Linked DNA regions of Neodiprion lecontei. The protein of the gene in region 1 interacts with the protein of each later gene in a pairwise test. Links are inferred from orthologs where the notes say so. Each region holds a gene or a part of one and is shown in the gene's direction. Other genes may lie near its edges. The genes, in order: protein draper, thioredoxin domain-containing protein 5 homolog and tyrosine-protein kinase Shark.

What was found.
Region 2: the proteins of protein draper (region 1) and thioredoxin domain-containing protein 5 homolog interact in binary tests that used the Drosophila melanogaster proteins (3 or more experiments, as listed by UniProt). The link is inferred for Neodiprion lecontei from reciprocal best matches to the Drosophila melanogaster genes drpr and prtp.
Region 3: the proteins of protein draper (region 1) and tyrosine-protein kinase Shark interact in binary tests that used the Drosophila melanogaster proteins (3 or more experiments, as listed by UniProt). The link is inferred for Neodiprion lecontei from reciprocal best matches to the Drosophila melanogaster genes drpr and Shark.

What each region holds. Positions count from the first base shown.
Region 1 is NC_060263.1:18,480,284-18,489,889, forward strand, and holds the start of protein draper, read left to right. Parts: upstream 1-4,508; 5' UTR 4,509-4,782; intron 4,783-9,606. UniProt on the Drosophila melanogaster protein: Receptor which is involved in the phagocytosis of a variety of cells including apoptotic cells, severed and pruned axons, degenerating dendrites, salivary gland cells, germline cells and bacteria.
Region 2 is NC_060260.1:10,939,420-10,950,580, forward strand, and holds thioredoxin domain-containing protein 5 homolog, read left to right. Parts: upstream 1-3,723; 5' UTR 3,724-3,879; intron 3,880-4,091; 5' UTR 4,092-4,161; coding exon 4,162-4,319; intron 4,320-5,035; coding exon 5,036-5,185; intron 5,186-5,391; coding exon 5,392-5,500; intron 5,501-5,581; coding exon 5,582-5,872; intron 5,873-5,998; coding exon 5,999-6,460; 3' UTR 6,461-7,354; downstream 7,355-11,161. Other genes in the region: uncharacterized protein LOC124294844, read right to left, coding at 303-484, 759-932, 1,039-1,222; protein dissatisfaction, read right to left, coding at 9,929-10,182, 10,799-10,880. UniProt on the Drosophila melanogaster protein: Possesses thioredoxin activity. Acts as a ligand for Drpr and is required for the phagocytosis of apoptotic cells. Binds to the extracellular region of Drpr and augments Drpr tyrosine phosphorylation.
Region 3 is NC_060262.1:186,028-198,980, forward strand, and holds tyrosine-protein kinase Shark, read left to right. Parts: upstream 1-4,348; 5' UTR 4,349-4,433; coding exon 4,434-4,509; intron 4,510-5,573; coding exon 5,574-5,711; intron 5,712-5,831; coding exon 5,832-5,995; intron 5,996-6,077; coding exon 6,078-6,263; intron 6,264-6,611; coding exon 6,612-6,696; intron 6,697-6,822; coding exon 6,823-6,981; intron 6,982-7,065; coding exon 7,066-7,271; intron 7,272-7,406; coding exon 7,407-7,571; intron 7,572-7,652; coding exon 7,653-7,860; intron 7,861-7,946; coding exon 7,947-8,194; intron 8,195-8,285; coding exon 8,286-8,394; intron 8,395-8,473; coding exon 8,474-8,642; intron 8,643-8,818; coding exon 8,819-8,945; intron 8,946-9,023; coding exon 9,024-9,221; 3' UTR 9,222-9,732; downstream 9,733-12,953. Other genes in the region: uncharacterized protein LOC124293234, read right to left, coding at 958-1,023, 1,172-1,314, 2,992-3,504. UniProt on the Drosophila melanogaster protein: Following axon injury, required for recruitment of drpr and glial cells to severed axons and for glial clearance of severed axons from the central nervous system.

The sequences.
Region 1 (9,606 bases):
GTATTGTTGATAACGATAGTGGATTAAGGGGCAAAAGATGCAGATACAGATTTCGGTGATACAGAATTTTCCGATAGTTGAATATTTCGTTTAGTTTACTAAAATTCACTCTCGTATATCGACGAGCATAAATGAACGGTGTCGTGTGCTTCAATTAACACGAACTGAATATTCCATAACGTGATCAAACAATAACATTATTAATCTTCAACCAGCCTAATTTAAGTTTATCGTTCCTTTAAATACTATTAAATAAATAAAGTGTAAAAGCTGGTAAAAATTGAAAAACCTATGATACAAAACCGAGAAGCATAGCTACAGCAGAACTTAACAGGTTAATCGGTCCCCTCTTTTTTTATTAATACGACCCGTAGCTAATCCCTTAGAATTCCGGAGGGAAAGTTTGCGGCGTTGGCATTTTCTCTGGTAATATAATTCAAAGCGCATTACCGGATCTACAGATCCGGGGATCGGGTGGCTCGTTGTGCAGATATTAGCTACGGGCACTCCATTGTCAGCTGCGGGGCGGCTTGTTTCATCGCTGGATCCTTGTTGCCGGCTTTGCAATTGATCCTTGCCGCTTTGCGCCCCCTGCAACACTGATTCCCCCTCTCTCGACGTCTGTGAATAGAAAAAATTGAAGAAACTTGAGAAATTACTTTTCATATCATACTTACGTATCTAATCCAGAGACGCTCTCCAAGTTCCTGATTGTGTAAGTAATTAAGGTCATGCAGTACCCCTACCCTTACCGACCGAGAAAGTTTTTCCTCTTTCTTGCTTTATTAAATAAAAAAACGAACGCAAAGGGTTCAAGTTTCGACGGTGCATCGCTCTGTTGTAGCAGAATTCAGGTGAGCTACTCGTGTCCTGAAAATCGTCAAATAAATGTGTGGTTCTTTGACACGTGTTACTATTTCCACATTTCCCGCATTTGATAACATAAGGGATAAGGGTGAGTTTGCTCTGTCGGTAAAGGTAAGAGTACTACGCGAACTTGAGCCCCGTTAATCAGGAATCGCTTTTATTCTAAATCTAATTTGATCAAAATAATAGTAATAAATTATACGCCGTAGATTGATGAATTTCACAATAGATTTCGCGGGTATTTATTAGCCTGTTTCAGATGAGGACAATATTTTGTTATCTTTTATGCAATAACATCTACGCGTTAGTTTTTTTTTTTTTTTCTAGAAACCAATTCTCAAACAGGTGCCTCGCGTCATGTATCTTTTTTCAATTCAATGATTAATATGCAAAAAAAAAAAAGAAATATACTAATTCCAATCCCTTTGCAGCAATTTACGAAGTAATATGAATGAATGATCGCTTAGATTATTGAATAATTTGCACAAACGACAATACCATTTTTTCGTTGGAGAAACCAGAAACCAGATATTAGCAAAATAGAATTTGATATTACGCATATCCAACAAAGCCAACACAACTGTCAAACCTCGTGCTACACAATCGTTGTGTAAAATTTTTACTGTATTTTTATGTCGTGTTTATCAAAACGCTAATGAGCCACGCGGCGTGAAGCGCCTCTTGAACATCCTATTTCAGCAGAAGCTGAGATTTGGATCACGTTCCAGCAAAAGGGAAAAAAAAAAGATAAATAAAAATACTTATAATATCCAATCTGAAACAGTTTAGTATTTACATTCATAAGAACTCCAACTTTATTCACGGCTTATGATCGAACAGCGCCTTGTTGTCGGCTACTTTTCCGCCCCCGTTTCCGTAGACCGGTTGTTCTGCCACCCCTCGCAATCACCCCCAACTCAAACCCCGAGCGTCGCCCGGCGCGGTTTCCAAGGGGGTTCGGCGGGGGACCGGATGATAAATGACGTACTCACGGTAATTGCCTCCTAAGTTATGGCTTATACTGCGTATGAAATATGGTATCGTTCCTCGCTCGCAATTACTGCCCGGCTGTTTATCTCGGGGAGAGAGAGAAAGAGAGAGAGAGAGAGAGAGAGAAAGGGAGAAAGCTTCGCAGCTCGTTTCATGCGCACGCGAAAGCGCATGAGAAAATTTCCTCTGTATACGTATGTAGTTGCATATTCGATATACATATATACATACGTATACGACATAAAAACGGTTATATGAATTATACATTTGTGAGTTTGATGAAATTCGTCGCAGGGGTTAATGCCAACGGCTTGTTGCAATATGCTGCTTAATCGTAAGTCTTGAAAGTTTATTTCATGTTTTTTACTGCAGGGATCGATGTATTTTGTAATAGGGTTGTTGAGGTAGTGAGGATTTTTCTCTAGACCGCCCCCCCCCCCCCCCAAATCAACTTTAAATAATTCTCAAAGGTTTTCAGAATTTTAGCTCAACTCTAACACGTGTCTACAAGAGGAAGGATTTCCCTATTTGAAATACGCGTGTTTCGGATACATTGTTAGTATATATTTTACTGTAAGATTAATAATGTTCAAAAAAATGTGTGACTGCGAGGTTTTAGCGGGCATTAGTGGTACTATTTGAGAAAAAATTCACACCATCATACCCGGTAATCTAGACGAATTTGCACTTAATCCAAATAGAATAAATTCAGATTTCGAAAGTGTTCAATTCGTTGAGATTGTATGGTAAGATGATGTGTACTTTTTTCAAATAGTAGCACTAATGTCCACTAAAACCTCGCTGCTTCAGATGTTTTTGAACATTATTACTCTTACAATAAAATATATTTGTACTGACAATGTGTCTGAAACACGTGTACTTTAAATGGAGAAACGCACCCTGATGGCGGGAGATTTTAGAGTTGAGATAAAAATCTGAAAAAATTAGGCAATTGTTTTTGAATTATTGAAGGTTGATTTGGAGAGCAGCTCGGAAAAAATTAGCTGTCACTCTAAATAAGAACAACCCTATGTCAGTATATGAGGTATGTCCGAATCGATTTGTAATAATATAAACTGATTTCACAAGTTTATCCCCCCCCCCCCCCCCCCCCATGCACGTGAAATCTCAAATCATTTTAAAATAGTCAGTCTTAAATATTATTCTTTTGACTAACAATGACATCGAAGTTGAACGATAAAATCTCTGTATTGGGAACGGAAATTCTACAGTCACGTTAAAGCCATTGTGACGCGTATTTTTCGGTATTCTGATATCTGATCTTTAAATTTAAAAGAACGATATTTAAATCTCACAATTTTTGAGACGATATAATTTAAAAACAATTTAAAATTCAGTATGGATGTATTCTTTTTAAATTGTCAGTTGAAAAAGAAAATAAATTGGTAAAATCGGGCTCATTGCATTAGGAAATGATACCGTGAATATTTTTTTTTGAATTTATACTCACTACCGCCACGGAGTGGTAAAAATAGTGTGCAAGCTGCCCGTAAGGTCACAGCATGCTTTGATCCATTCTGTGGCGCCATCGCTCCTGGAAAGCTTGAATAACGTAACCTTGAGCGCCTGATATCGCAACTACAGATACACGTTAGAGCTGCAAATTCCGTGCAGTCAGGCGCAAAGTTTCGACCCATTCCAATTGCACTTGAATAATGCTGGCAAAATAAAGAAATAAGGAAAGTGATATCTGATTTGAGTCATGCACTGAATTTAACAGAAATTCTTAACCTATGAAAATAGAGTGATCGGGAATTAGTTATCAGAGAAAGGTAACGAAGTGAAATAATTGAAGAGAGAAAAAAGAAAACTGAAAATTAAGATCTACTGTGGTTTCATTTTACACTAATAACGTAGCTTTACTGTAATTTATTAATATTATTGACTAGTCACTGATTTTTGTTCTGAAAGTACGAGAGAAAGGACGAGAGTGAAAACGTAAAAAGATCGTCAAATATGTAGATGGTAAGAATAACGAATTTTCAAGAATGCAAAAACTTATTTTGTCCACCTTTTATAATGCACAAATTTGAATTATATTAAAATGAAACTGTAAGAAACACCAAGTATATAAAGCCAAAATATAGAATCGTCAGATTGAATGAGAGTATAGCAGAATTCTGGAGATACAATTTTTTTGTTTCGGTACGTTAACTTTCTACATTTTTAATATTCTATACTTTGACTTTCTACTCTTGTAAAGATGCTAAAAAATTGATGTTCGCGTCTTCAAAAATTGAATATTCTGGTGTTTCTATCGATTAAGTCGAAAAATAGTGGTAGTGGAAGCAGAGTAGAATGTGAATCGCATACCAAAAAGTAAATCGAAAAACCAGTATAATTATAAAATTACAATTAAAATGAATAAGCATTACGTTAGAAGAAAGTCTTTAACAATTATAAGTTTTGCAATTAAATCAGACGAATCCAATTTCACAACCACGGCGAACATTCGTAGCGTCGGTACAACAGATGCCTATCCTTACCTTGTCTCGAGAGGTTCGATCTACACGCGATAACTGGCATCGAAGTTCGTTTGAAGTTCTCCGAGAGAGCCGCCAGACGGAAAAAGTTACATCGCCAGCGCCACCAGCGGATACGTGTGAAACTATTCGCTCTGACCGAGGGACGCTCGAGAATTTGTTTCGATTCAGTGCGGCTAGATCCTCCTCTGCAGAAAGTTTGGTGCGGGATATATCAGCGATAGTCGATAAACAGTGAAAAAGTGGAAATAACCGAAAGTGAGCTTTGTAGTGCAGTGCGTGAGTGTTTTTTGGTGAGCGATCAGATCCGCCGATTGCATTCTGAGATACCGCAGTGAATCGAACGCCACCGATTTCAAGATCCAGTGCAAAGTAGGGAAACCGAGAGCCCTTGGAACGGATTTACCCCTCAACAAGTAATGTAAGTGTTTATCCAAGTGTCCTCGTTCTGATCTTCGTTGCTGGCATCCCAGCTTCGGGCTGCGGTATTAATGAACCGTTACAACTGCCGCTGTGGCAGAGAGAGAAAGAGAAAGAGAGATTGCAACGTATAATCGCCTCTCTTTCTCCCCCCATCCCTCTTTCGTCCCCCGACAGTGGTTGTGGAATCTAGTTTCTGGTACCAGATTGTGACGCGGTGCGTTGCCCCCTCGTCGGTTCTTTGTGCCCTCGTTCGAGGGCCTGGAACACCGCGCGAAGCGTGCGGAATGCAGCCGTTTTTTGTTTTCATCCCGGCCGAACGCTTTGAGAGATGACGATCGCCGTGTTTTAAGTATCATTATTGTCACGTGACTGACTCGCTTCTCTCGATCTCCGTCATTCTTTCTCTTTCTATACGGTGAGACGAAGGTCGTTGTTACGCACGACGCGGTTGAACCACTGGCTTGAAGCCGCAGGTGGTTCGCACTGTTCTGACAAGTTGAGTCTACCTCTCGCGTCGCAATGACGCGAGGAAACGCTATTCTGGTGAAAATGATTTCTACGATTTTTTACGAATTTTTAGGGAAATTGGATCGCATCGCATGAATTTGTACGAAAAATTGTAAATACGCCTAAATTATCATGAAAATTTGTATTTTTTCACTGAAAATCTACAAGATACTACGATTTTTAAAGAAAGTCAACAATTATTTGTGAAAAACTATGCATGCTTACAATTTTGTACACGAAATGACACGAAATGTTCCAAATTCTGGAAAAATTCGTAGTAGTAGTAGTAGTAGAAATTTTCATTAGGGTAACCCGGTGCTGATGTGGCCCACAAATGCTCAGAATGTCAGAAACGATGAGAGAAAGTATAGGAAGTCAAATTTCGTTCAAACCTTCGATGACCTATTTGATTTCGAAACCAATTTGGAACCAACGAGTTTCAACAAAATATTTCAATTTATGGTCGAGGTTGAAGCTAATAACATTATTTTGTAACCATACCAACACGTTTAGTTGATTTCAACCAAATTTTGTTGGACTAATAAATCTAGAATTGACACAAATATGTAGATATTTACTTCGTCGCCCGTGACCACAAATATAGTTATTTCAATGATTTTTTTCTCTCCGTGTATTCATAGAAAAATTGTTATTTCAAAATTTTAGGATCTTTTGAAATTCAGTGAACTGTAATAACCCAAAGCATATTTTAGAAACGTCACTGTGTCACGATTTCACAACAGAGCCGCTTGAAATTGTAATATAAAATTTTGCTACTAACTTCAACTTCGTAATTATCCATCATATTAGAGAAATTAAATTACCGTATAATTTATTGTTCTTCATATAGTTATTTCAATTCTGAAAAACGCTAAAATTGGACAAACGACGACAATTGCTCATTTTCACCGTAAACTTAATTGCACAACCACGATTTGAAAGAAATATATTTATCGACACACCATCCAACGTACGGACTGCGATCATTATTACGTTACGTGAAGTGTAAACATCAGAAGATTATATTAGAGATATTAGATTTATCACTGAATAGTTCGTATCAACGCAAGTCATTTTCAATTTCTTCTGCGTTATTAGTTCATTACGTATACCTTATACATTGTCTAGAAACCGATTGTAGTTAATCCGGTTTTGTTTTTGTTTGCAAAGAATTATTAATTCATTCTTTGTTTTATAAATTTTGTTTCATTTTTACCCAGCACATAGCGAAAGTGGTATATATACATTATACATATATATATTGCAATTGCGCAACAGACAATTCAGAGATAATTAATTTATGATGTTGCAAGCGATTGAGCGCATTGCACTTTAACTGCGAGAGTGTGGAAGGAAACACAATGATAAAAGGTTATTATTGTAATGTTCCACGATTAAAAAAACAAACTGCGGCGTATGAGAAAAAAATAACGATGATGAGGTTGACACAAGGTATATACCGTTTTTATTCTTTCTTCTTCTGGTCTCTCTTCCTCGTGCTCAGCTTCTGATCTTCAATTAAACGACATCGCGAGTAAGATGGAAAAGAAGGAGGCGGTTCTGACCTTCGCTCAGAATATTCACCGAGCTCACTTTTCCTCTGCGTCACTTCGACGAGATTCGAGGTCGTTATTCTGTTTCTTTCTCTTTTGTTTCGTTCCTGTCGTGACTCTAAAGTGCAGCAAAGCCAATTGATCAATCAATCCGATGTAGGATATATCAAACATCGCGCAGTCCATTAAATTGTCGAATAAAACAAATCCGCGCTGAAATCAAGATTCAAAAAGTGATCCTCGAATTGCAGATCGAGACGAATTTTATTGATCCTTAAAGTGATGAATAAAAGTAATTCAAAATCGTACATTCAAATGAAATATTCAATTCTTAGTGGTGAAAGAGTTAAATAAGAGAGGATACTTTACTACGTTTATTGAAAATAGTCCCGATTTGTGATCGGAGTTTTTTGTACCAAAAAGCCGTCCTTGTGTAATTGAAAAGCTTGTAAACTAGTGCGAGATCGATCGTTCAGAAAATTTACACGAGTTTTGGAGATCATTTCGTATTATTTTTCCCAATTTTGTGCATAGGAGTCACAATTTATATCAAATTTCGCTTCCTCTCCATGACCTTAATTAATAACTAATTATGTTACGTTTTATTTGGGTTAAAGGCGTATTCCTTGGGATACAATAATGACAAATTTTTTGCGTGAATAAGTTCTGTACAAATCAGCTGATATATTTTTTTAATATTGTCATGCGTCCAGTATATTTATGTTAATCTGCGAAGAATTCATACACCAACAAATTGCATTGAAATTAATTAAAATCGTACGACCTATGCCTGTTTATCTCATTTCGAAATAATACATATATATATTAAAACAACCCGATCGCTCTGAGATTATTATACAATAATTGGCCTTTTTTATCATTTAAAATTCGTCGGATTCAAAACCTAATTTTTCGGTACGAAAGAAACTCTTTGCTTTGATTAAATACAACTTGACTGACTTCAGTCACAGATTACTCTTTCTATTTTAATTTCTGTTTTTTATTGTTTTTCGCTGTGATTACACACTGTGTAAAATAGACATCGGCAACAATAAATAATAAATGACAAGCCCGCGTGACAAAATTACTATGCATTTTATCCCCACAGCGTAAGCTTATTATAGTCACACGCTAAAGTATCCCGAAAATATCACTGGGTCGAAGTTCACTGTCTAATCGACACTGGGAATGCTTGGAATTACTTATCGGACTATTCAGCATGTAAAATGTCAAACTAATGAGACAGTTTTTATGACGAATAAATATTCGCTAATTTCTTGATTAGTGTGGTCATAAATATAATATCGACGTACCGTGTAATAATTTGACGTAATTGAGATAGAAATTTTGCGATGAGCCAAAAAGAGATTAATTACTCAGGAGTTCAAAGAATATTTTTCCCGCACTCTTATCGTAAATGCTGAATTACTTAAAAAATATTTTTGAATGCATCTAGATATATTAGTTTATCAACATTACTGTAACGTATCTAATCCACTGGAATTTCCTCCAAGTGTGCATGGAGCTTTTTTTAATCATTGAAATAATCTTCCGCCTTTTAAACACTACTTAATACTTTTTAGCCTGCGTGAAAAAATTCGTTGCAGTAATAATTCAACTATACAGCAAATTATTCTTCGCTTCAAATTTGAGATAAGGTTCGACTAGTCTTTATCGAAAATACTTTCTTCAAATGGTTTGTAGATAAAACGTTGAATGTCGATATCACTCCACGAATTCCATGACGATGTTCCTAATTTAAAGACAACGGTTACTTCTCATAGAAGCGATTAACAGTCTATCACATTTCGTTTTTTTTTTTTCTTTTTTTTTCTTATTGATTATTATAATGTTTTGTTATTGTTTATCTATGCGTGAATCAGGAAAATCCGCAACGATCTTTACAAGCGATATAATATCAGTGATGAAGTAAAGTAATTATATCGATTATGAAATCGAACCACCGAATAAAATAGTTTCTAAGTCATAAATTCTTTTATTTCTTATAATTGATCTTATTATGGTTTTCAATAATTGGGATATTCTCAAATGGTCGGTATATATAAACATTTTTACCTTGCTACGTGTAGTCACACAATGAAAAAAAAACTTCCAGAGAAACAAAACTATCGTCTTCTTCTCTCCAAATAAATTTGTTGATTCATTCGTTTCTTTCGAATCTCATCAATTTATTTTCCTGTTTGAACAGATTGTTTTTTCGTGTACCGTTGTATTTTATCTCCGCAGTTCAAACTATAAACAATATGCGTTATATCAATATTATCCTGCATTTACCCGCAACATCATCGCGGTGAACTTTCCATGTGAATAAAACTTTCGTAATACACAATGGTATGTATAAATAAATGTATGTATATGTAAATAATAATTTTTATGCACATTATACACACTTGTACGTGAACAAAAAATTGTTGCCACGAAATTTAGTCGTTCGGAAAAATGTCTGTGAATTTTATTGCATTTTTTCTCTGAAAAAACAATACGGTCATTAAAATCAAACTTTCCAAGTTGCATTCTTTGCGGTTAATTTTTTTTCTTTCATTTCTTTTTCTCTTTCTTCCAACATCTCTTGGATATTATATTCACTGTTTTTATCATTACATCATTGTATGCAGCTGCTCCATTTGTGGAACTGCAACGTATAAAACTAAGAGAACCTCCAAGTCGAGTCTAAGATTCTCTGCTTATTTTTATGTAGCTTCGATCTATTTTAATTTAATATAGATTGAATGGAATATAAT
Region 2 (11,161 bases), on another chromosome or scaffold:
TCCTGATTTGACTCCTGACCCCACTTCTGGTCCCACTTCTGATCCCTCTCCTGATCCTACATCTGATCCTACTCCTACTCCTCGTCCTACTCCTGGTTCCACTTCAGATCCTGATCCTACGTATCTTCTTGATCCCACTCCCACTTCTGATCCTACTCCTGATCCTACTCCTGGTCCTAATCCTGGTACTACTCGTGATCCTACTTCCACTCTTACTCTCGATCCTGATCCCACTCCTACTTCTACTTCTACTCCTGATCCTACTCCCACTCCGTTAAATATTATAAAAATGTTATACTCACAGTGCACAAATCCTCGTCATCCTCGTCCACCTTGTTCTTCTCATCTTCCCCGTCCTGCTCCTCGGTCTCCTCCTCATCTATCTCGATCACCCGCAACCAGCCCCAACCCCCTCCCACCACCTCCGACCATTTCCAAACACATCCAACGACCACCGCTACCCACCTCGGGTTATCCTCGAATACTAATCAATATTTCCAGTATTAAAACACATCAAAAATATTGTGTAAGGATGAATGCCAAATTGCAATTGCAATTTGTTTATCGTGGTCGTACGGTTATTATCCCGATTCAAAATGTAATCCGAAGCATGAATATTGGTTTGATGGTACAAAACATGACGTTTGCAATAATCAAACTTGTAAACTTGAAAATTAGTCCTGAAGGTCAGTAGTCACCAGGCCAAGGACCTGGACAGTCAGAACTACGGAGCGCTTGTTCTAGAAATCGAGTTTCACCAGGTAGTGGACCCGGCGCGCGAAAACTACTGAGCGCTTGTCCCTGAAGTCGAGTTGCACCAGATAGCGGACTTGGAGCGCAGGAACCACGGAGCGCGTGTCCTGGAAGTCGAGTTACACCAGGTAGTGGACCTGTAGCGCAGGAACAATGGAGAGCTACGAAAAACTGGAAAACTACGGAAAATTAGTTGTGAAGGTCAAAAGTCACCAGGTCATGGACCTGGACAGCCAGAACTACGGAACGCTTGTTCTGGAAGTCGAGTTTCACCAGGTATTGTACGTGCTCCACAGGAACCATGAAGCGCTTGTCCTGGAAGTCCAGTTTCACCAGGTAGTGGACTTTGAGCGCAGGAACTACGGAGCGCTTGTCCTGGAACTCGAGTTGCACCAGAAAGCGGACCCGGAGGGCAGGATCCAGCTGGTACAGAACCCAGTACTCGAAATTTGCGGAGCGCGATTCTCATCCGTCCGCTCTATTGCGCGATTGTTTCCGGACTGAAGAATTCGGCTAGCTGATTTTCGTCTGTATAGATGGATGACGTAAAGACAAAAAAAAATTTCAGGTGACGTCACTTTCTGAACATCGGAATATCCGAACATGCAACCTTGGATTACGAACTTCAGTACTATGTATGATATGACGTATGATGGATGATGATGTATGATGTATGGTGTATGATGATATGATATGATGTATAATGATTTTAGTTTTCACATTTCAAACAAGAAATTCGCACTTTATCTCTCCTGCCGATTCCAGACTCAAGCGGCCAGGCCCTTCGATGGTCAGCCGTTGACTGAAGATATATCCTTCAGTTAACGGGTCAGCTGATAACGCTGCCTTTCTGCTACTGTTGCATGATAAAAATTTTTGCTCGCACCTTTCAAATGTGTGTTAAAATACACTTGAAGTTTTAAGAAGCTCCGTTCAATCTCCCCCCATCAAAAAAAAAAATCTCCGACATTCACCTTTTTAGGTCTTCAAATCAGCACACTGCGTTAAATACTGTCTCGTTTGCGGAGCATCCATTTCATTTCAATTAAAATTAGCGCATTCCTGATGTCATGCAGTTACTCCGAATTTTTTTCTTACCAAATGTAGATAGTTCATTTACGACTAGTTAAAACAACGTTTCCATGCTGTGCCTATGAAAATTCAAGATCGAGAGAGCAAATGGAATACATCGAGCGCGTGTCGAATAGAATCCCATTTCGAAATGAACAATTCTTTTGTTATCATATCATAGCCGTATTATTGTATGTAATCTAGTTTGTATCCTGGAAAATCATAAAATTTATAGTATGCATTACGTATTAATTGTTACTGGATCATATATATAGTAATATCGTACATGGACCGCATATACTGTATATTTTCTGGTCTCTGCATCTTTATTACATCTGATCTATTATTATTTATGATCTATGTATACATTCTTCCCTCGGGTACCTATACTTCAATTAAATCACCGTCTTGCTACGAATTTTGGACGAAATCTATTCTGATTATTAATTTCTTGTATCGCCGACAAGTCGGTTAGTATACACAAGCCAAGTACTGGCTTGGGCTCACCATTGCGAAGACTGTGTTACTCGGAAGGTGAATGCAGCCAGCATCATGTCGAAATCGGTAATTCTCTGATGTTCTGCAATAAGTTCTCAACTCTACCGATGGAACATCTCGGGAAGCGCAAGCGCACGACGACTTTCGGTTGTCCCACCAAAGCCCATTGGGGCAACTGTATTTTTATTCTTCAGTCAACGTAGGAAGCGTTTGGAGGTGTATGACGGTGATCGGTCGTGGTCGACGAGGACGACGAAGACGAGCGGTCGGCGGATGACGTGGAGGGGGACGAGGAGAACGAAAGTGGTCGGTGGTGCTCGGAGGTGGTTGGCGGTGTCCGGAAATGGCAGGAGGTGGTAGGCGCTGGTAGGAGGTGGTTGGTGGCAGTAGGAGGTGGTAGGAGGTGGATTAAGATGGTAGGAGGTGTTTGGTGGTGGTAAGAGATTGTCGGAGGTGTTTGGTAGTGGTTGGAGATGATTGATGGCGGTCGATGAGGACGCCGACGACGAGGACGACGTGGGGCTGGAGGAGGAGGTGGGGGAAATGGCCGAGGTGGACGAGGGCGAAGGTGATCCGAGGTGGTCGGCGGTGGTTGATGGTGCTCGGTAGTAGTTCGGGGTGGTTTGCGGTGGACGCGGTCACGCTTCTTGTCACGGGGATTATCGAGCTGATCGACATTTTTAAGTCGCAGTCGACAAGTAGTCTCTTTGTGTCGAATCAATCTCAAGCTTTCATATCGACACTACTTTGGCTGCTATGAATGTCAGTGCGATCAAGGAGGCATCCTCCTTGAGTGCGAGCTCGTTAAGTAGACTCGATAGAGCAGAACCCTCCTACGCTCCCAGGCCCACTTGGGCCCACTTGCCCCCCGAAAACTGGTCACAAAAATTTACCCAGGGTTACCATCAGTCTTTATGTTCTTCAGTCAACGCCAGCACTTTTCAGAATCTCAAAATTTTTACCAAAAATCAAAAAGAGTTAGCCTCACTTTTTATCTGGACCAAAACAAAAATCCTCAATATAGTCCACGTAAGCTCACTAACTGTCGGTTAGTGCGCTTTACTCATAATCAGCCCGGACTGAATTAATATCGTACAGATTTTTCATCCATCAATTTCGCTGCGAGGGAAGCTTTAAAGTTATATTCGCATATAACTACTTAACTAATCGACATGAAATCTTATGTTCACTAGCCGACCGCAGCGCACTCTCAAATACCAAAACGGTCATACGACCAAAAATTTCTAATTGAATCTATATTTCACGAAAGAATGCGGTGTACTCTCGTAGAAACTCCCAAATCGGTCACGCGACGGAATTGACAAACATTCCCGCCCATGTTTTAAACTTCAGTATTCCGATTCACCGCCAGGTGGAGTAAGAGTCGTTTCTAATCAGGCGCAGTGTCATCCCGCGGTACGCTGTCTCGTACCCGGTGGGCGGATTGGAGGTTTGTGTGTTTTCGATCGGTCGGCGAGAGGTAACGTGTTCTTGCGAGAAAGTGTTACACTTCGATATCAAGACTGCACCTCCCCCTGAGTAATTCCCTCGACAAAAGTATAAAATATTACGCTAAATAACAAGCTGCGGGAAGATTTTGTTTCCTCATAAGTAGAAATCGCGCTTTAGTTAGCTAACCTTAATTTGATAAAACTGGAAGTTTTGTCAAATTTCGCCGATTTTTTTTATTCACGCAAATTTGCCCGCATCTTCTCTTGGTTCTCAGTAACTGATAACAACACGACGATTGGTTTTTTGTTTTCTTTCAGAAAATCAGTGAACAACGATTGTTTGATTTATCAGCGATTAAATTAAAGCGAATCACAGACACTCGTAACTATGCTTCTTAAAATCATCGCACTTCTTGTCACAATTTCAACATATCAAAGCGAGGTCATTGCTCACGACGATGACGTCCACACTCTTCAATATTCGGCGGAAACCTTCCCTGTCGAGATAGCCAAGAAAGATCATTTTGTCATGTTTTACGCACCTTGGTAAGTCAAAAAATTTTGGACACACAAGCGAACACGAAATATATAGTTTATAATTCATAATATTTCAATTGTCATTACACTCATTACAAGTATAATGTTGATGCATATCCCGGGACACCGAAATAAGTGTGGCTGATTCCACTAAGTTTTTTTTCGCTGTCAATATTATGGATATTTCAAATCTCTGTGTTTGTAGTTTATTTGAGTATGTGATTTTCAGAGACACAATTATTTAAGAAAGAAAAAAATGAAAAATAGTAGCATCAGTATGTTTATAATATGAAGGATGAGATTTTATAAGAAATGATGAAATGGTAGTAACCGAAACAAATGTTAAATAAATTCTTAAAGTAAATGAAACTTGGCCATATGATTTTGAAACCTGAGAGCCACAGATGAACAGATAATATCACAAATGTACAGTTCAAATTCAGATTCAATCTCCACTAGAGGTCTCAAGTAACCTGCCCCAAAGTTTTAAGAAACACAATTCCTGTGAAAATGGCTTTAAGATTTGATATTTCAACCTATATTTAGCAGTGCATTATTCAAGGAAATTCGACTCTCTAAATTTATCAAATACTTCATTCAAACAAGTGTTGAATTATCCTCAAAATATAGAGAAAAAATTACAAAATTTGTTGAAAATGACTAGGGGTATGTAAGTCTTAATAAACACGTCATACATAGAACGAAAATATTCTGTTATTTATTAGGTGTGGACACTGCCAGCGACTCGCACCGACGTGGGAACAATTAGCTGAAATGCTCAATGGAATTGACGATGGTCAAGTTCGAATTGCAAAAGTCGATTGTACCGTTGATGCAACTGTCTGTTCGGATAATGATGTGACTGGATACCCAACGTAATAATTATCAATTTTTCTTCAACCCGATTGAGTCTCGCCAATTTTTTTCCTTTTAGAAGCAAAGAAACTTGTAGCTTCAGTTGAATTGTTCAATGTTTCGAAATTCAGGGTCATTAAACTACTTTCATCTATATTTTTCCTTGTAAATTACCAACTAGTTGGAAATTCCATAACCTCATATAACTACCTGCATTTATCTTCAGTCTCAAGTTCTTCAAAGCTGGCGGAAGCAAAGGTATCAAGTTCCGTGGGACTCGAGACTTACCCACCCTGACAACATTCATCAATGAGCAAATCGGAAGCGTTCCAGTTGTTAGTATTACTGCTCTATATTTTATCGGTAATACGATCTTCAAAAATTCTGACTATTTATCAGGTAATTTTATATCGCAGGAAGAGAACAGCGAACCAGCTGTACCGCAGCCTGTGAACGGACTATTGGAACTGTCCGAATATACGTTTGACAAACACGTATCCAGTGGAAAGCATTTTGTTAAATTCTACGCACCATGGTGCGGACATTGCCAAAAGTTAGCACCCACTTGGGATGAGCTTGCGAACAGCTTCGCTCATGGCGACCTCGTTAGTATCTCTAAAGTGGACTGCACCCAGCATCGCTCAGTTTGTGGCCAATTCGACATTAAAGGCTACCCGACTCTGTTGTGGATTGAAGACGGTAAAAAGGTAAGTTTTATGTCACAGCTAATATCGAATTCAATCGCGATGAGCATTTATCGAAATTTTTATGATTTATTCAAGTGGTACAATAAGTATTGACCATACCTCTTAAAATGCTTTTTCACTTCTCAGATTGATAAATACACGGGGCAGAGATCTCACGAGGAGTTGAAGACTTACGTGTCGATGATGCTGGGCAAGAACGCGGAGAGTAATGACGAGGAAAAGAAAGAGTCTGGCGGTCCGTCGGACGCGGTGTTCACGTTGACTGGTGAGAGTTTCAAGAACGGTATTGAGAAGGGTGTAACATTCATCAAGTTTTTCGCACCGTGGTGCGGACACTGCAAGCGTCTAGCCCCGACGTGGGAAGAGCTTGGAAAAAAATTCTGGGCAAACGAAAATGTGCACATAGTAAAGGTCGACTGTACAATGAACAGTAGCAAACAACTGTGTAACGACCAGGAAGTGGATGGCTTTCCAACTCTCTTCCTGTACAAGGACGGCCGAAAATTGTCCGAGTACAACGGATCGCGTACATTGGACGATCTTTACGAATTCGTTATGAATCATATACAGTCCCGCGACGAACTGTGATCATGTGTTCTAACTAAAACGCATGTTGGTACTTACGGTTTTTATCGGAGGGAGCTTACGAGCGGTTTTTGATCCGTAAATGAAACCGGCTCGCGTAATTGATCTGAATGATAGTTTCTACTTTTTAAAAAAATTTTCATATAATTTTTCAAACTTGTTTCATGGCAATCTTCCATAATGTATCGTATTAGTAAGGCGTTTTGTTGGAGCTACCGACACATGTCGACTCACAAGACACTTATTATCAAGCGAAAGCTTGCCAAGAAATTGAAACAGAACCAGCCCATACCATAATGGGTGAGAATGAGAACTGGAGACACAATTCGCTACAATGCGAAGAGACGTTATTAGAGGAGAACCAAGTTGAAATGGTAAACTCGTACATTAATTCTGGTCTTCAATTTCTATGGTTCTACATGATTATGTCACTTGAAATAAACAAAACTTGTATTATTAAATGTAAAATATTTTGTTTCCTTGAGTTATATTAATTAATATTCTTAGAAATCCGATAAATCGCAATCAGCTGATAAGATTAGCTTCTATTCTTGCGTCAGCATCGGACGTAGGAAAAGTTTGCAGAGCATTTAAAATGAACAACTAGTATCCATTTTTAGTCAGAGTTGAAGTCGTTTGTTTGAGGTAAGATGTTGAGCTTCCGTTGTCCAACTTATGTCATAATGTGCATGCAGCAGTTTCGATTCACATACTCCAAAAGAAACTGTTGAATTATTCCTTTTAAACTTTATACATACTTATGATTAGTTGGTAAGCATTACAAGTGAGCCTGTAATGTACATTTGTAAAAACGTGAAATGAATACTGAGTATAAATATTGTGTTTTGTAAATGATCGCCTATGTTGAGTGGATTATTAAAATGGTTCGAAATTAAACAGTGTGTCTTTGTTATTAACACATCTAACAATACCCTAAGACATATTTTTACTGCCAAGTGTTCGCACTTGATTCATACGTTTCTTGCATTTATTTATTATTTTCTGTTTCCCGAACCGAATGAATAGCGCATAATCATAATCGGGAATTGAATCGCCTTAAGATAATAGTAAGCATGTATATTATATCATATGTATATGAATACGTAATACATTTATACACATTGTTCCGATTTACAGCAGAAACATTTTACAGCTACTTTACAGTATGTACACGTAACATTGTATGTATGTATTATTAAGTAACGTAAATTTTATTCAATTTACCGTCGTTTATCGAGATTTACCGTTTACAGTCTTCGTGTCACGATGAACGATTAATGTTCCGTATGAATAAACTTACGAGTTATTGAAGAAACAGTTATCTCGCATTTTGAATATATTATAGTTAATTTTATTTCAATTTAGGGAGTTAAACAGTGATAAGAGAGAAATTCAGAAGATTTGAGAACGCCGTTTCGGGACGTATTCCTGGAAATATCGACAAACGTTACACTTGACATCAAGACTAATTTATAAACAAATTTTGTCGTACCTTTTGAAGTTTGCTTTCGCTGATTTCGGCCAAAATTTGTGAAAACTTTACTCGGAACTTTGTACAACCGGTGTGAAACCTAGTTTAATAATATTCAACGAAGAACAACAGTGTGCTTATAGTTAGTGGAATGCGTACACAAGTAAAAGTGCACAGATGCGGCAATAAGCGATATAAATAAAGTACGTTTGCTCGATTTGTGTCAACTTTCCTTCGATATTATGTATAATCACATGAATCCCGACTATATAATCAATTACCGCTCATTGATACTTACGGGTATTAATCATTATTATTCATACATTATTTCTTTTTTTCGTTACTCTTATTGCACACGACGAATGAAAGGGGTTGCATGACGTATCACAGTTGGGAAATCGCTAAAATACTTTGCTAACGAACTTTCATACATACACCTAGATATATAATACTGTATATCTATATATTATAATACTATAATACTGCATGAAAAATTCTCAATTCAATTTTCACGATAAATATTACCCATATATTACATCTGCCCGACATTTCCCAAGTGTTTTACAAATGTAAGCGAATAAGAAAGTGAGAATATTTTTCAAACGATTGAAAAAACATTGTAACCAAATGAACAACGATACATATATTACAGGCCATTATAGCGTAAAGATTAATGAGTTTTAACGATTGATAGGGATGGTGCGACCGATTTGCTTTCGAATTATCAAATCCATACGTAGCCGTCATAACTGGGCGGACACGAAGATAAGATAAGATGCAACATATCCCCATAGCTGTGGCAATATAGCAAGTCCGTGCATAAACTATACCGTGATTCGTCTCTTATATATCGAAATGATTCGAACACGAGCATGAGATTTTTGCATTTTACTTAATTTTTTGACAAGAAAGGCAATGCAGCAGCAATGTTGAACTTTTCCTCTTGTATAGTCTTATCGTTTCACGTATTTTTGTCCGTTTTCTTTCGTTTCGATAGACAAGATACTCATTTTGAGGGTTTGAGGTGATGATGAACATACTTGACGTAATTTATAATCATCTTCAGACCCACTATTGCAAAAGTCAGTACTATATTGACAAGAATGTGTATTTCATAATTGTTGGTATGTATGGATAATTAAAATTTAGATTTATAATACCAGATATTGACAGCGCTCATCGTGATCCGATTGTATGAATTTCTTCTTTTTTTTTTCTATTTCTCCGTTATTTGCACCAGAGAGTGCAAATAGGAACAAATTAAATATAAATTTTTTCTTTATGTGGATAAACGTAACAGATTGTTGAAAAAAGTGTCAATAAATATATGCAGCTATATGTGTACTTGGTATACGACAATTAGAGCACAGATCCTCTGGTCAAAATATCTTCCGCACAATTTTACAACGAATATTTAAGAGAAATAAGTCTAATTATCTTCTGTAATGAGATGAGGTGCTGTTTTTTTTTTCATATCACTGTATTAAAAATTGCCTCCATATACCTACATTCAGTTTTGCGTATGACTCAATCACTTGAATATTACAGTTCTTCTTAATTCTTCTGATACATTCTAAGTTTCTTTTCAAATTTCTCTTTAGCGGTTATTTAACGAAACTCGCAGACTGTACTTCGTCACGTATTACAGTAACGGAGACACATTATCGTTCTGCTGACAGCTGTTATTCACAGTTTGCATGAAACTTTACACCTACATTCTTTACAGCTATAACGTTTCATCGTGGGATGGATCGACAGTCTTCGGTGAATTATTGTTCGACCAATGATCCTTCACACATCGACTACAATAAAACATACATATACCTATATGTACATTTTACCTATAAGAGAGCCCAATATTATCTGAATATGGGTAATAGCCAATCTTATCGCGGGATAAACAGAAAATAACATAATACTTAATATTGTTAGTATATAAAAACACGTCAAAGTAGTCCTCTGGCCACGTCAGATTTTCTATGAAATACGATTAGGTACTTTCAATTCGAGTATCTCTCCATTTGGTACATATCGCCGAGCAGACGAGCGATCGGTATTTCCCCGATCGTTTCTCGGAAGAACAAGAGTTCGACGGTCGAAGGATTTACAGCCCTCAAACTCGGGAGCAGGAGCAGCAGCCTCCCGAATCTTGTTGGCTGACGAGGATATCGCGATCTCACGTAATCTCCCAAAATGCACTGGGCCTGGTCTTGAAGCATCTGGACCGGTTGCCCCTCGTGAAGTCCCCTGGTTTCTAGAAAGTCCAAAAACCACAATCACAATTTTAACGATGTGTTATATAACAAGTAATTTTTTTTTTTTTTTTGGAGTAAGACTGCAAGAATTATCGTTTCCAGTTAACGGTTCCATTACGATTGTAAACAATTAATTCCATAACGATGGTATCCAAAGAGTTCCATCACAAAAATCGAACGGAGTATTGCAAATACACTGTAAAAATTATATCAACAGTTTTTTTTGTATCTTCAGCATCGGCTATACTAACGAGGCTGGACATGCTTACTTTATTTCCGTATCAGCTTATCTATCAATGTTCTATTAATCTGATTCAAAGAAGCTGCAAAAAGTAATTTTTTATACAGTACACTTTATCAGCTCACGAAGGGCTTCTGATAAAAAATTAAGATATAAGTCCCGTAAATTACAAATTTTTCATACTGAACCGTTTCCAAGATTATCACCGGGTCTTTTCTGGACAAACAGACAGACAAACAGATCTTTCTTGAAAATCTGTTTGTATTTTAAAGGACCGCCGACGTAGGGATGCATTGAAATTAGAAAAATTCATTCTTTCCCAATTCCGATATTTATCTTATATCATTATAGATGATGAAAGCGCATTATCTTACCTGGCGTGAAGAGAACAACCGCTTTCATGCAACCGCACTCGCTTCCGTCGGGCGAAAGCTGTCTGAATCTGCACATGATTTCCTGAATAATAATCATAGATTATTAGTTGTAAAGGATCTGCGTTATCAGAGTAATATTGCATGAATTAAATAACGTCATCTACTGAATTGGTTAATTTCTCTTGAGTGTTCTTTGTATTCGTGCGATTTTCTTGATATACTCTGATTACAGTTGAAAAAGTAGGTAAAAAATCTGATACAGTAAAGAAGAAAACCTCGAAAAAATCGAACGAACAGATTGATAATAATTCATTAAAGAATCAAGTATGTCCGTTTCTTTTTGCAATGCAGGTACGTACGTAC
Region 3 (12,953 bases), on another chromosome or scaffold:
TGCGGCGCAGTCTGCAGTTCGTTTGAGTAAGGATGCGTCCCATCTGCGCAGTTACCTCAAAGGTCCTGCTCACGATGCTCTGCTCGCAGTATTGCGTAAACGAACGAGAACGAGCGTAAGACTGCCAACTGCCAGAGAGATTACACAGAAGGCTCCAATGTGTCATCGGCGATGAATCGTGCCGACTTAGGACTGATAAATTGAAAATGAGTTATTTTATCAAAGTTCAAAATCATTGCGAACAAAGCATCGACAGTTGAGCGCAGATCTTACTTAATATCTTAATATCCAATCATTTCCAGTAAGTACTGTCTCGCGATAAAGAATATCAAACCTATATACTAGAGTATTTCATGGGAAATTCAAACCAAGTAAAAAAAAAGTCTAAAAAAAGTTACGGAGTGCTTTCCAAGTGAGAAAAATCATATCAAAAATCGCGGGCCCAATCCGAGAGGTCAAAGTTCAGACCCAGGTCAAAATGGTATGAACTACTGCTCCGTATGTAACAAGACTTGGTATGAGTTTCAAGACTTTCCAACACTCTACCAAATACTTGATTTATCATGAAAACTTCATTGAAATTTGTCGAACTATTTCACTGGAATTTACTAGTTATATGAAATAATGCTTACAAATTTGAAAAACTTGCTATGCAAAAACCAGAAGTCCTAAAGGTTTAGAAAATTGCACGGATCGTCTCTAGTCAATGCTCGATTTTTCATTCAACTTTTATCCAAATCGATGAAGTCGTTTTCACGTAATTCAGAGTGCAACATTTTCAGCGTTATTGGAAAATGGTAGAAAAGGTCGGTGAATGCGTTGAAATGTATATGTGAGATTTTTTTTTTTTTTCGTAGCAACGTTTTTCAGTGTAACAAATACAATAGGCACTCCACTTTATGATTGTACTCAAAAACCGTTGACTATGTAAAAAAAAACTGCCCCATAGCAACTTACACCATGCAGGATGTGCTTCCTCTCAAGAACTGGCTCATTGGACACCCAATCCCCATGGCTCCGTGCCTAGATTATGCAACATAATAGAAAATGTACAAGTTGTATGAGGAAACTGTACCGAAAAGACAGTTTGCATGCATTGACTATTCTTGGAAAGGATAAAAATGGAACTTGGATTTGGAAAAAACAAATTATTCAGTATTAGTTATTTTACCTATATTTCGTTATGTCCAAGATCTTGTTTTGCTTCACGCAATTGTGTATGAAATTCACATGATATACTTCCTCGTTTCCTACATGAGGATTTCTGATAGTAAATTTTATCAATGAGTCTTCAGATACGACTCCTCCATTGGCCTGAAACATTGTTATTCTTGAAGCATGATTTAAGAAAAGTACACTGCAGGTGATCTAAAACTGTATTCATTGTTATTTGAATTTGGTTGTAACTGATAAAAACAGGAAAAAAATGTCCCTTTCTGGAGGCTCTTTGAGGATCATAAGAAAAGTGCAAGGACTCTTGTATAAACAATTCAAACAATGCATTCATAAGGATGTGTTGACTGGATGAATCAAATTAATAATTAGGAAAAGAAAAAAGACTAATTAAAATGTGGATATAGAAAGTGTTCTTCCTCTTCGAGCACAATTGTAAGAGTGTCTGTAAGTGTGTTTACATTTTGGTAACTTACGCTTCTTGGTGCGAAGCTCGTAAGACAGTCAATGACCGTCTGATATTATAATATTGAAATGCGGATATGCATCATCAATATTAATATTAATCACGAGGTAATTTTCATTTTGTGAAACGTATATAATTTTTGAACTACTGGTAAATTCGAAAAATTAACGACGGAGCCAGGAATCGAACCTGGTATCTAGCGATGCTTTACCGGAGCCTTACTCCACTAGACCACCTAGCCGCCTTAAGAGAGAGATTAAGGCGGCTAGGTGGTCTAGTGGAGTAAGGCTCCGGTAAAGCATCGCTAGATACCAGGTTCGATTCCTGGCTCCGTCGTTAATTTTTCGAATTTACCAGTAGTTCAAAAATTATATACGTTTCACAAACTAATTAAAATATCTCCAGCAACATTATTTGTGCCGATGATGGTAAACACGAATAAAACAACACTCTGACTAAGTAAGAGAATTAAATCCGAGCAACTTTAGCCAACACAAGCTAACGTACCACCAAATTGAGAAAATGTTTTATAATTGGATCTTTCTAAATGGTTAAACTCTCATGTTTTTGATCTGATTCTAATGTTCTCCAGCATAATTTGTACATCAACTCATAGGGATCAGATCAACGAGCAAAATGATTACAAAAACATTAAAATTGCATCAAAATTACAACATTTAGAACAGAAAGATTCGCAATGTATCCTCAATAAATTCCATTACGTGTTAGAAATTTAGACTTCCAAATAGACTATAAACGTGATTATTCTTAACAATTAAATGATACACAACAGATTTCACGTTGGTCCAGAAATCAGTGTCTGTCATCTACAAGTAGCTTGCTCAGATTCAGGGAAAGCTCCTTGATGGAAGATTACGGTTTGCTATTACCAATGCCAAAGCGTTTCTATCATTGTTTTGATGCGGTGAGTTCCAAAGGGTCCTCCGACATATCTTAGAACTAATTGAAGTTTGGGACTAAAATTGCAAATGATCATTGACCGATGAACGTAATCGCTGACTGGAAACTGTTCCTCGGATTCATTTGTGAAGGTTAAATTTATGTGACAATTGCAGAAGAAACTGTTGAAGCTGAACATATTTCAAAATAATTCCGAATGTCCAAGATGTGCTTGTTGTACGATAATTACTGTTGTAGAAAGTTTATATAATCTGACGGTTGCGAATTTGAGGAGATTTCTGTATCGAGTCAAGTGTTGATTTGGACAAGTCAAAATAATGAGCTACGACGCTGTACGGGGAAAAGTTACTTGGGAACTGCAACATGATGCTCAATTTTTGCTGAACATTTGAATTTATTATTGAATTTTGTATTACGCAAAACACACTCACCGTTATGAGCCGGCTTAATTCAAGTTTTTCTTTATCACTCACGTTCACTAGATGGAATTTAATGGGTCGCCCCAGATGTTCAAATAACATATTGATTGTTATATTTTTACAAGCTCGTCCGAACGCAATTTGCAGAAATTTGAAATACGACCCCGATGTAAGTAAGGACGTGGTAAGAACCAAAGAAGAACGACAGAGCAGTGTTGCCAACCTGGTGGTATTCCCGCTAAATCTGGTCGTTTTCCTTTTAGTTGGGTTGTATGTACGCCTCTTGATCGCTTTGTCAAATTCGGTTTTCGAAGTGTGGTGTTTCTTTTTGGCCGAAAACGTAGCTGGTCCGGTGATTTTTGATGGGAAATAATTCAGACGAGTCCAACGGTTTTTGGCGGGATTACGGCAATCCGCGTTGGCAACACTGCTAATAACATCCAGCCGACCCGCTAGAACTTCAGGGCTGAGTTCAGAAACCTTACTCGAGTGACTCAGTATCGCTGCGTCTTTGTTTAATCTCATGTGTTAGACAGAGACAGTATGATATCCGAGTTCCACCGAGTTCACTCGGGTAAGGCTTCTGAACTCAGCCCAGCCAACCCTCTGCCACGCGACGAGTTCGTGCCGTTTTGCCGACATTTCTATAAACTGTGAGGGAGCATATGACGAAATTGGTAGATAATTGAAAAGAAATCGAGGAGCAACTTGAGATGCGATTGTCGATTGGACCGAATCAACATAATTTGTTCCGGATACTATTTCGAATCCGCCGCTCTTGGACGTAACTTCCAAGCCAGTCTCTCCTTCTTGTCCCAGTTTTCTCGAAAACTATGAGAGATCAAATTACGAGATTTGCGGAGCGTTTACTAGCGATTCAGGAGCAATTAGTAGCAATTATCAAATTTTCCTATCTCGAAAACCGAGTAGAAGTGAGTAATAAATAATAGCATCGGTAGCAATTTTTGGCGTAGAAAGTTTTCAAGTAATTCGAAGGTCAAAGGCTACTTCACGTAGGCACGAAGTAAGCCTTCATAGACTGTACGGACGCATTTGCGTATTCTTACACACCCGCGTGCATACCTTCGTGCATACATACAGATTCCTTCAGCCTTCAGAGTGTTAACTGGCTGGCAGTAGTCACGTTCATACCAGTTCATACCTATGGACTGTGTTGGATAAACGCGACGTTACTTGTTCATGAGGTTCATGAGTATCGAAACTGAAATATCAAATTAATCATTGTTACTTCGATGAATCACTGGACAACTGGTGTAAAATGTTACCGTTCACGCTACGTATGTATTATATTTGAACGGATCGTTTGTCAGTTTGTATATTACCACCGTCGTAACACTACACGAACTGCGTTATGAATTAATGAACATCATATTGTGTCCGTCGTTCGTGCATGCGTGTGTGTAGTATTATTGTACTTGGAAAACACCCTAAGAATGGGCAGCGAGGAAAACATAGCGTGGTATCACGGAGATCTTTCTCGTCAAGATGCGGAAAATATGTTGAAGGAAGGTAATGCGGAATTTATTTGTGGATTATTAAGTGTGCATACGTTTTTATGCCTACGTGCGTAAAACGTTACTCGGCATTTAACGGATAGTGATTTGCATCGATTTGCATCATCGATCGCCCTCCTTGGATATGTCACAACAATGCTCTTTGGCCATTTTATCTTCCATGTTACACTATTGTTTCAACGTAATTCAGAATCAGGATATTATTTATTTGCTCCTCAACTAAACTCACGCAACTTAATATATATATTTTATTCTTCTAACCTGTTTTGTTGAATGTTTGATACTTTACTGCTCGTCTCGAAACATTTTTAACAGAAGGGACGAGACCCAGTGTGTTTTATAATCTCTGTCTTATTTTCTTACGTTCAAATTTCACTTGCAGCTTGTGAAAAATGTCTAGCTTTTCGGCGTCTTGAAACATACCCAGAGTACCAAAGCTCGGAAACACTAATGTCAGACTTGGTTGAGACGGCTTCGACTTTGTAAGCTTCCGACCTAATGTCATATACTTCATGGTTATCCATGTGTAGTTATCAACAAAATTTGTTTGAAAATACCCCTTGCCACTGAGTCAATTTTCTAACCAAGTTTGTAAACAATTTTTCAACACTCGCATGTACGTACACTCTCAGTGATGCCATTTAGAGAATTTAGCAATTTGTTGTATTGAAATCGATAGATGTTGTAATTGTACTTTTTGCATATGGTACCTTAGTTAATTTACTGGTGATTTATGGTCATCATTTGGCGTCCTGTTGTTCCGTGAACACTGAACATCTTTTATTCCATTTATTCTATGTGTCAGTATCGAACCTCGTAATGATTTGCACCTCTTTGTATATTATAAATCATAGTAAGTGTTTAAAGAGATATTTTTTTGAGAGATTCAATAAAAAGTACAGTGTATCAACTTTGTTTGTTTTTATAAAATCCTTTTGTGTGATTTGAAGTTTTAACTGTAATAATGTGTTAATGGTTATTGAAATTGGAATAATAGTGAAAGAAGAAAAAAGAAGTTGTCTTGTGCTTATCCCTTTTCTGATAATATTAATTTTTCAGAAGGAACAGAGGATGGCACATTTTTAGTAAGAAACAGTAGCTCGTCCTTGGGGGATTACGTCTTATCTGTTCTCCACAATGGTGAAGTGATTCATTATCAAATTAGGAAACATGAGGAGGATGCTTTTTTCTCAATAGGTAAGTAACATGCTGCGACTCGACAATCGTAAAGATTATCTACCTACCGATTTACACATTCCATATGTATTCTTATAATTTTTGTCGCAGTTTGGTTAATTTTTTATGAAACACCAACAGATGATGAAACAACAATTCATGGGTTGGATACTCTGATCGAATATTATCAAGATAGTCATCATGGTCTTGAAACGGTTTTGCGCAACCCTCGCATTGGTAAACCGCCACCCCACGATACCAGGCGGCATGGACGAACGAACCTTCTTCACAGAGCGACTGTTCAGGTAGAATTAACTAGCTACTACTAGTTTATTCATTTATCAGTGCTTGTCGATGATATTGAACACTTCTATAAATTCCGTACAGAGAAATTACACTATAGTCTCAGAGCTGCTGAAGTGCGGGTATAGAAGTCTGGATGCCAAAAATCAACTGGGTCAAACTGCTGTACATTTAGCAGCAATGAACGGAGCGGATGAAATTCTTCGAAAACTGATTCAAAATAAAGCCAGCGTTAATTGCAGGGATTCTGCTGGCTATACACCCCTACACGTGAGTCTGAAATAATGTGGAGTGGGATTTGATTGTTTTTTTTTTTTTTTTCATCTGTAGAGCTGTTGTCACCCTTACATGTTTCATTTCCGTCACAATTTTGATAAGAATTATTAACGATTCTTACCATCCCAAGATAGTTATTATACATTTTTACACTGTACCTTTGTGAATATTCACACTTTACCTCTTGTTCAATAAATTTCATATTGGTATTGTGATTTTTAGTTTGTGTCATTATACACTCAGTACTTGATGTTCGTTTTCGATAGTTTTCCAAATCACCTGGTTCATTATTTTGTGTTCTCACGTTGTTACTCTTGGTTTCTTTTTTGTGTTGCGTTTCAGTATGCATGTCAAAGTAATTTACCAAGTACCGTTCGAATACTAATAACGGGTGGAGCAAATATTCAGGCAAGAAACACAAAGACAGGTAAGTCCTGGTGGCATGTATACTAAATACTTCATTGACTATTCGATAACACTGATCAGAACGGTTTTGTTCATAAAATAAGTATAGAAAGATCGAAATACTCCACTCTATTAGCATATTTTTCAGGTATGGTTCCTCTGCATGAAGCAGCTAGTAGGGGACACAATACGGTGATACAAGTATTACTTTCCATGAACGCGCCTGTCAATCCTCGCACTATGGAAGATGATATACCGGCTGATCTTGCTAAGCGAAACGGTCATGTGGAATGTGCAAAGCTGTTGTGTAAGTTGTTAGGGTATTGTGAGAAATATTTAAAAGTCAACAATGTTAGCCATAAATTATTTGGTTACCGCTTATTTTCTTCAGGCGATTATCAGGGACCTGCTCCAAAAGAAAAACGCTGCAATTGGTACCACGGAACACTAGATAGAACCGAGGCAGTCGCTCTTTTACACAAACATGGTGACGTTGACGGATCATTTTTAGTTCGGTTTAGCGATCGTCACCGCGGTGGTTACGTACTCACAGTTATGTACCACAAGCAAGCGTACCATTTCCAAATACAAAGAAAGGTCAGCCATGCTTATTGCACGTACATTGTATTCTTAAAGTATTTATCATTACGCAGTTTTAGATGTAACCTTGGCTTGTGTTTTCGCCCATTTTCATTCTTCACGTTATTTTAATGTTCTATTGCATTAGTACAGGGGGACTTGTTGTTTATTGATAATGGCCCCTACCTCGTTTCCCTGGAACACGTCGTAGAATATTATCAGTGTATGCCCGATGGCCTCCCTGGGCCTCTGCTTCATCCTATTGCTCCAATACCAAGACCACCGGTTCCTGAAATGCCTTCGTCTATATTTAATGGGGTGAGTAGAAATTAACTGAGGAAGAGCGTGCAGGCGTTTTGTATTGTCTCTTCGTTCGTGAAAATATGTTTTCTTTGATAGAACACACTCAATAAATCGAGACAGTCAACGGCTAAGAGAGGCAAATTTTCTAGAGATGCAACACTACTAGAGACCACATCTTTTTCAACTCAGCCTGACTCTGTTCAAAATCTTGACATTGACGAATCTTCATCTTACAATATCCCAGTCACGGCTAATGAGACAAACTTTGATGCTAATTTGAATTCAGAAGCACGGGAAATCCAAGGTAATGCATATTTCAGTGATTGGATCGTAGTTTTTTTCGCATACAGCAATGTATTCCAATGCATTCAAGTGAATTTATATTCGCAGAGTTCATTCCGGGAGAAAATTTGATCCTTGGAGGCGTCCTTGGCGAAGGTGAATTCGGATCAGTCTACGAAGGAGTGTATGATGCTCCGACAGGTGTTCGGGAACCAGTTGCAATCAAGACACTTCACGAATCTCACAGCGAAGCCACTCGTGCCGAATTTCTGAGAGAGGCGCGCGTTATGATGTCTCTCAACCATCATTGCATAGTCAGGCTCATCGGGCTTTCCTTAGGACCACCCTTGCTCATGGTATAATTGAATGTATTTAAATTTTTGATTAATTTGTACCTGATATCTGTAGCACTAGCAAGTTGTGGAAACAATTTTACCTGTATTTCAGGTTCAAGAATTAGTTCCACTCGGCTCAATGCTGGCATATCTTCTAGAATTTCCCGACCGAGTAAACCCGAACTACGAACTGAAAATATGGGCATCGCAGATTGCTTGTGGTGAGGAAACGCATTTTTCACTGGTATAATTGTCGACCAGTTGGTGTTTCAACTTTTAAACGCTATAGTATTCTTTCAGGTATGAAGTACGTGGAGGAACTCCGACTTGTGCATAGGGATTTGGCTGCACGAAATATTCTACTTGCTTCCAGACATCAAGCCAAGATCAGTGACTTTGGACTTTCACGAACGTTTGGTTCCAACGATTACTACAGAGCTAGCGAGGGTGGAAAATGGCCAATAAAGTGGTAACTCTTAAAATTCTGATGCCTTACACATACAAATATGTGCCAAAAGTCATTGGACGATGATGACGATATGGTCACTCGTGTATCTGTATTTATTATTTCTACTGAAATATAAAATATTGATCACCAGTTTTTCACCTTTGATCTCAATTCTTTGAAATTTTGACCATCACCAGGTATGCCCCGGAATCATACAACTTCGGTACATTTTCTAACGCAAGCGATGTATGGAGTTTTGGGGTTACGCTGTGGGAAATGTTTTCTTACGGAGATCAGCCGTACGGAGATCGACGCGGAGTAGATGTAAGTTTACTTTCATTAACCGATAAAAAGGATCGTTCAAGAAAATTGATGTGACTATTACTTTCTCCATGGTTGTAGGTAATTCAACTGGTCGAGAATGGCGAACGTCTTGAAAAACCGGATAAATGTCCGGAGCATATTTACACGGTAATGAAACGCTGCTGGTCATACTCAGCCGTGGATCGCCCGAACTTTGCCGAACTCTTGGAAATATTTAGCAGTGATCCCGAGTACACTAACATCAAAGAGCTTATTGCCGCTGTCGATATCAGCTGATTTCAACATGTTTGCGGAAGAAATTAGTATATTTTATTTTAGCCCTACGTATTTTTAACGTTATATTAATTATATTATACGACAATAGGTCGATTTTGCAGTAAAATATGAGACCACGCAGTTATAAAAATGGTAAGCGTTTAATTCAGACGATCTATCAGACGTGTAATAGTTTTGTAAATAATAAGATACGTAATCTGACGATTACTAGACGATTTTTTAACTTTGTACACATTATACCATATAAGACCTGAAATTTTCTATACTTTCTTTAAGACTGTAATCTTTGTATTCAAATGAGTCTTTCTCGAATTATAAATTAAGTTGAAAGCGATAGTGGTATTGCTGAAAATATAAATTTAATAACAAGTGCTAACTTATTTCAAAGTGAAGTTGGCCGTTTGGAAAAAAAAAAACAAGGAATTGTTAAAAAAAGCGAGAAATTGCTAATTGATGGTATTCATCTAAATATTTTACAAAATTTGTAAAATAAAAGACTGTTTCTCGGCCATCTTGATCGATTTTCTGATTTGTATTGTTTCATTCGACAGTGTATCCATCATCCCAAGGAAATTAAATGAAATGTATCAGTTCAATTACAGCCAGTCAACGATTAGAGCTAGGGTGAGGTAATTATTTTTATACGTATGTCTGATTCATGGTTGAACTGTTGAAGTTTGAATTCATTGGAGAGAAGTTGCGGATTGATGCGTCTCAACTCGGCCGAACGATATATCGAAGGAAGAAACGTTAAACAAAACACTGTTGCATCGAATGTAGTTTGAAATCAGTGTTGGTGTAGCCGACACCCGGGCATTACGTCTTCCCTGTCCGCTTCGCTGTAAATCCTTAATTGTATGTGTATAAAAATGGTTATAGTCAGGTCCACGTGAAATACTGTGTAAAAAATCGTTAGTTGAGTTAATACACAAGTTTTGGGTGGTTGGTGTGACTAAAGTGCATGTGATGAGAGTTTTCGAATCGTGAAAGAGTTGCGCAATACAACGATCTCGGATCTTTTTCGGGGGTAATAAGACATCTTTCCGACAATGTTTGTCTACGAAATATCGGATTCTATTGTATTGAAGGGTTTATGACGTTTTGAAGGCACCTGAAGGATACATCTTGTGTACGCGTTCGCTGCGTAACGACCGAATTCGGAAAAAATTATTAGAATGATCGACCGATAACGTGGTAATCTTTATTTTACGACTCGATTCCGAGTTAATTTTCGTCATTTTTCAGAGATTTGCTACTGAGGGTAATTGTGAGGTTGATGATAGGCGGTTTTTATGCAAATGAGCATTAACTGCATGTGAGTAATGATAAAAATAATCTAGGTATCGACCTATCTATTGACTGAACCTTGCAACGATTCACTTTCGGCGGGATTCTGCCGCGTCATATCGACAGTGCTTTGTTTCTGTTCGCCTGTATAAAAGAGACAAAAGAACAAGTCCAGGTTTAGTTTTTGCTAGTGTGCGTGAAGTGAAATGATAATGTGAATTTATGGATTACGCATGGATTACGGAATATCATGGAGTTGAGGATGCAGGATCATCGACGAGTTACGACTCCGGTAAGTCGCATGATTCGTAACTGCTTATGCCTCTTATCCGTCTACATACGTGAACGATTAACTAGACGACGTATGTCATCCTCGAAAGTCGGCCTCGTTCGCTGAACAGAGCCAAATGAAATGATTGCCAGCAAATTTTTTCGAATACGGAGTGTACCTGAAGCTCCGATTAATCAAGAACGCTCCGACATTCTAATGACGAGATCTTATCATACTTAAGTTAGTAACGTTATCGTAACGATTCATGCTGAAGAAAGACCTGTATTTCGCGATTTTGCAATTATCTGAAATTCAATAAATCGTAATAAAATAAAACACCCGTATTAAGAAATCTTAGTTCCTTAAAAATCATTGTAAAATTAAGACAATAGTGATTATTTTCCCAATGTTTCATTACGATAACGTTACTAACTTCAATCTTGCGAGATGTTGATCCTGTAGAGTAAATAACGCTGGCAAGCTATTTAAAAGCATGCAACGATGAATGTAATACTGAATCTTATAATTATAATATTTAAGTAAGACTTCAAGAGATCTTTTAGCTGTAGCGAAGGTCAGCGAAATAATGATATGGAAAATTGACATAAGTAAAAGACGAGTAGGATTCTGAAATGAAGTTTCGTCATAGTGTAAAATCTACATAACATTTATTATACTTTTAAAATTCGTGTTGAAATGAACATATTTTGTTTAACTTTAATTGTTAGAGAAAACTTGACAATTCGTCTAACCGCGAACAGTACCGGACACATTTATGCATGTAGTTATCGATAATCGTTACACGTATTTTATCTCTCGACGTGTAATCGGATGCTGTTTCATATGCGGTGTTCTTTCCCTGTTTTATTTTGTTCTTGCTTTTTAAATTATACATTTGACAGAAAAGCAGAATTTTGTGTATGTAATTAAATTTGTATAAAAGGTAGAATAGTGTGACGTTGTAATGTACCTACTTAGGTGATTTATATATTACATGTTCATATATACAAATTATATACAAGAGCAAAAGAAAGAGGTCATAAATATTTCAATCAAACAAAAAGAAAATAAATAAAATCAAATAACGGTACGCTGCAACAACAGTTCGATCTTTGCTCTAATATAAATTTTTATGCACAGGCTTTCACATACAAAATGATAAATATAAGTAGTTGGTACGGTAATCCGAAACTTTCTTTACATTATAAATTTTAAATAACGTCATTGTCATTATTGACACCAAGCATAGTTAATGATTAATTAATTAAAGCTTACAATTAGGTTGACGAAATAAGATAAATGAAAGTATTGAATGAATATAAAAAAAAAATGCTTTTGAATATATATGTCATGTTTGCTTGCATAAAAGATCGAAGTTCAAATTTTCATATCAATATGCAAGAATGCCTGCGCAAAACAATAGTCGTATTATAAGCATATAATGTATACATATAGTGTATACATATATGTTTACAATTTACGTTCTCTTACTTAAAAAATAATAATGCGATAAAAAATAAATAATGATCATATTATAATAATATACCCTAACCTTATTTACAATACGTTAATTCTCTCACTTATGAAATTATTATTATTATAATCACATGAAGAATTTGATTTAATAACGTATATGTATAGCATGTACTGACAACAGGTTGGAATTTGTGAAAATCAATCGATGAGACGGAACCCTCCTTTTATGGTTTATAGAGATCTTGACTCAATTATTCAACAAAACCGATATTTTGCTCATTGGGGAGCAAAATAACTGAATGGAAATGTCAATATCCTGCTTGCAGTTGAATGAAATGCAGTTGTTCAAAATCTACGTAGTCGTTCATACATTCAAAACCTAAAGGTGAAAATTAACGAATTGCATACATTTAAAAGTTTGTTAGACCCACCAACCCTGTGCTACCCATTATTTTCTTGAAATTCAAACTTTGACAGTTTTGTTTTCCTCACAAGTCCAAATCGGAATTGTTCATTTTATTTTCTTTCTTAGGACATCGTGTACAGGTAGAAGTTGACGAAAAGAAGAAACAAAGTCATACAGCTTGTATGACTGATATTAAATATGCATTTCAATAGATACAGAAATATTGACGGACAACTTTTTAGACTTTATGTCATTGTTTTTATTAGACTTTTAACCTCTGATTTATAAGCTT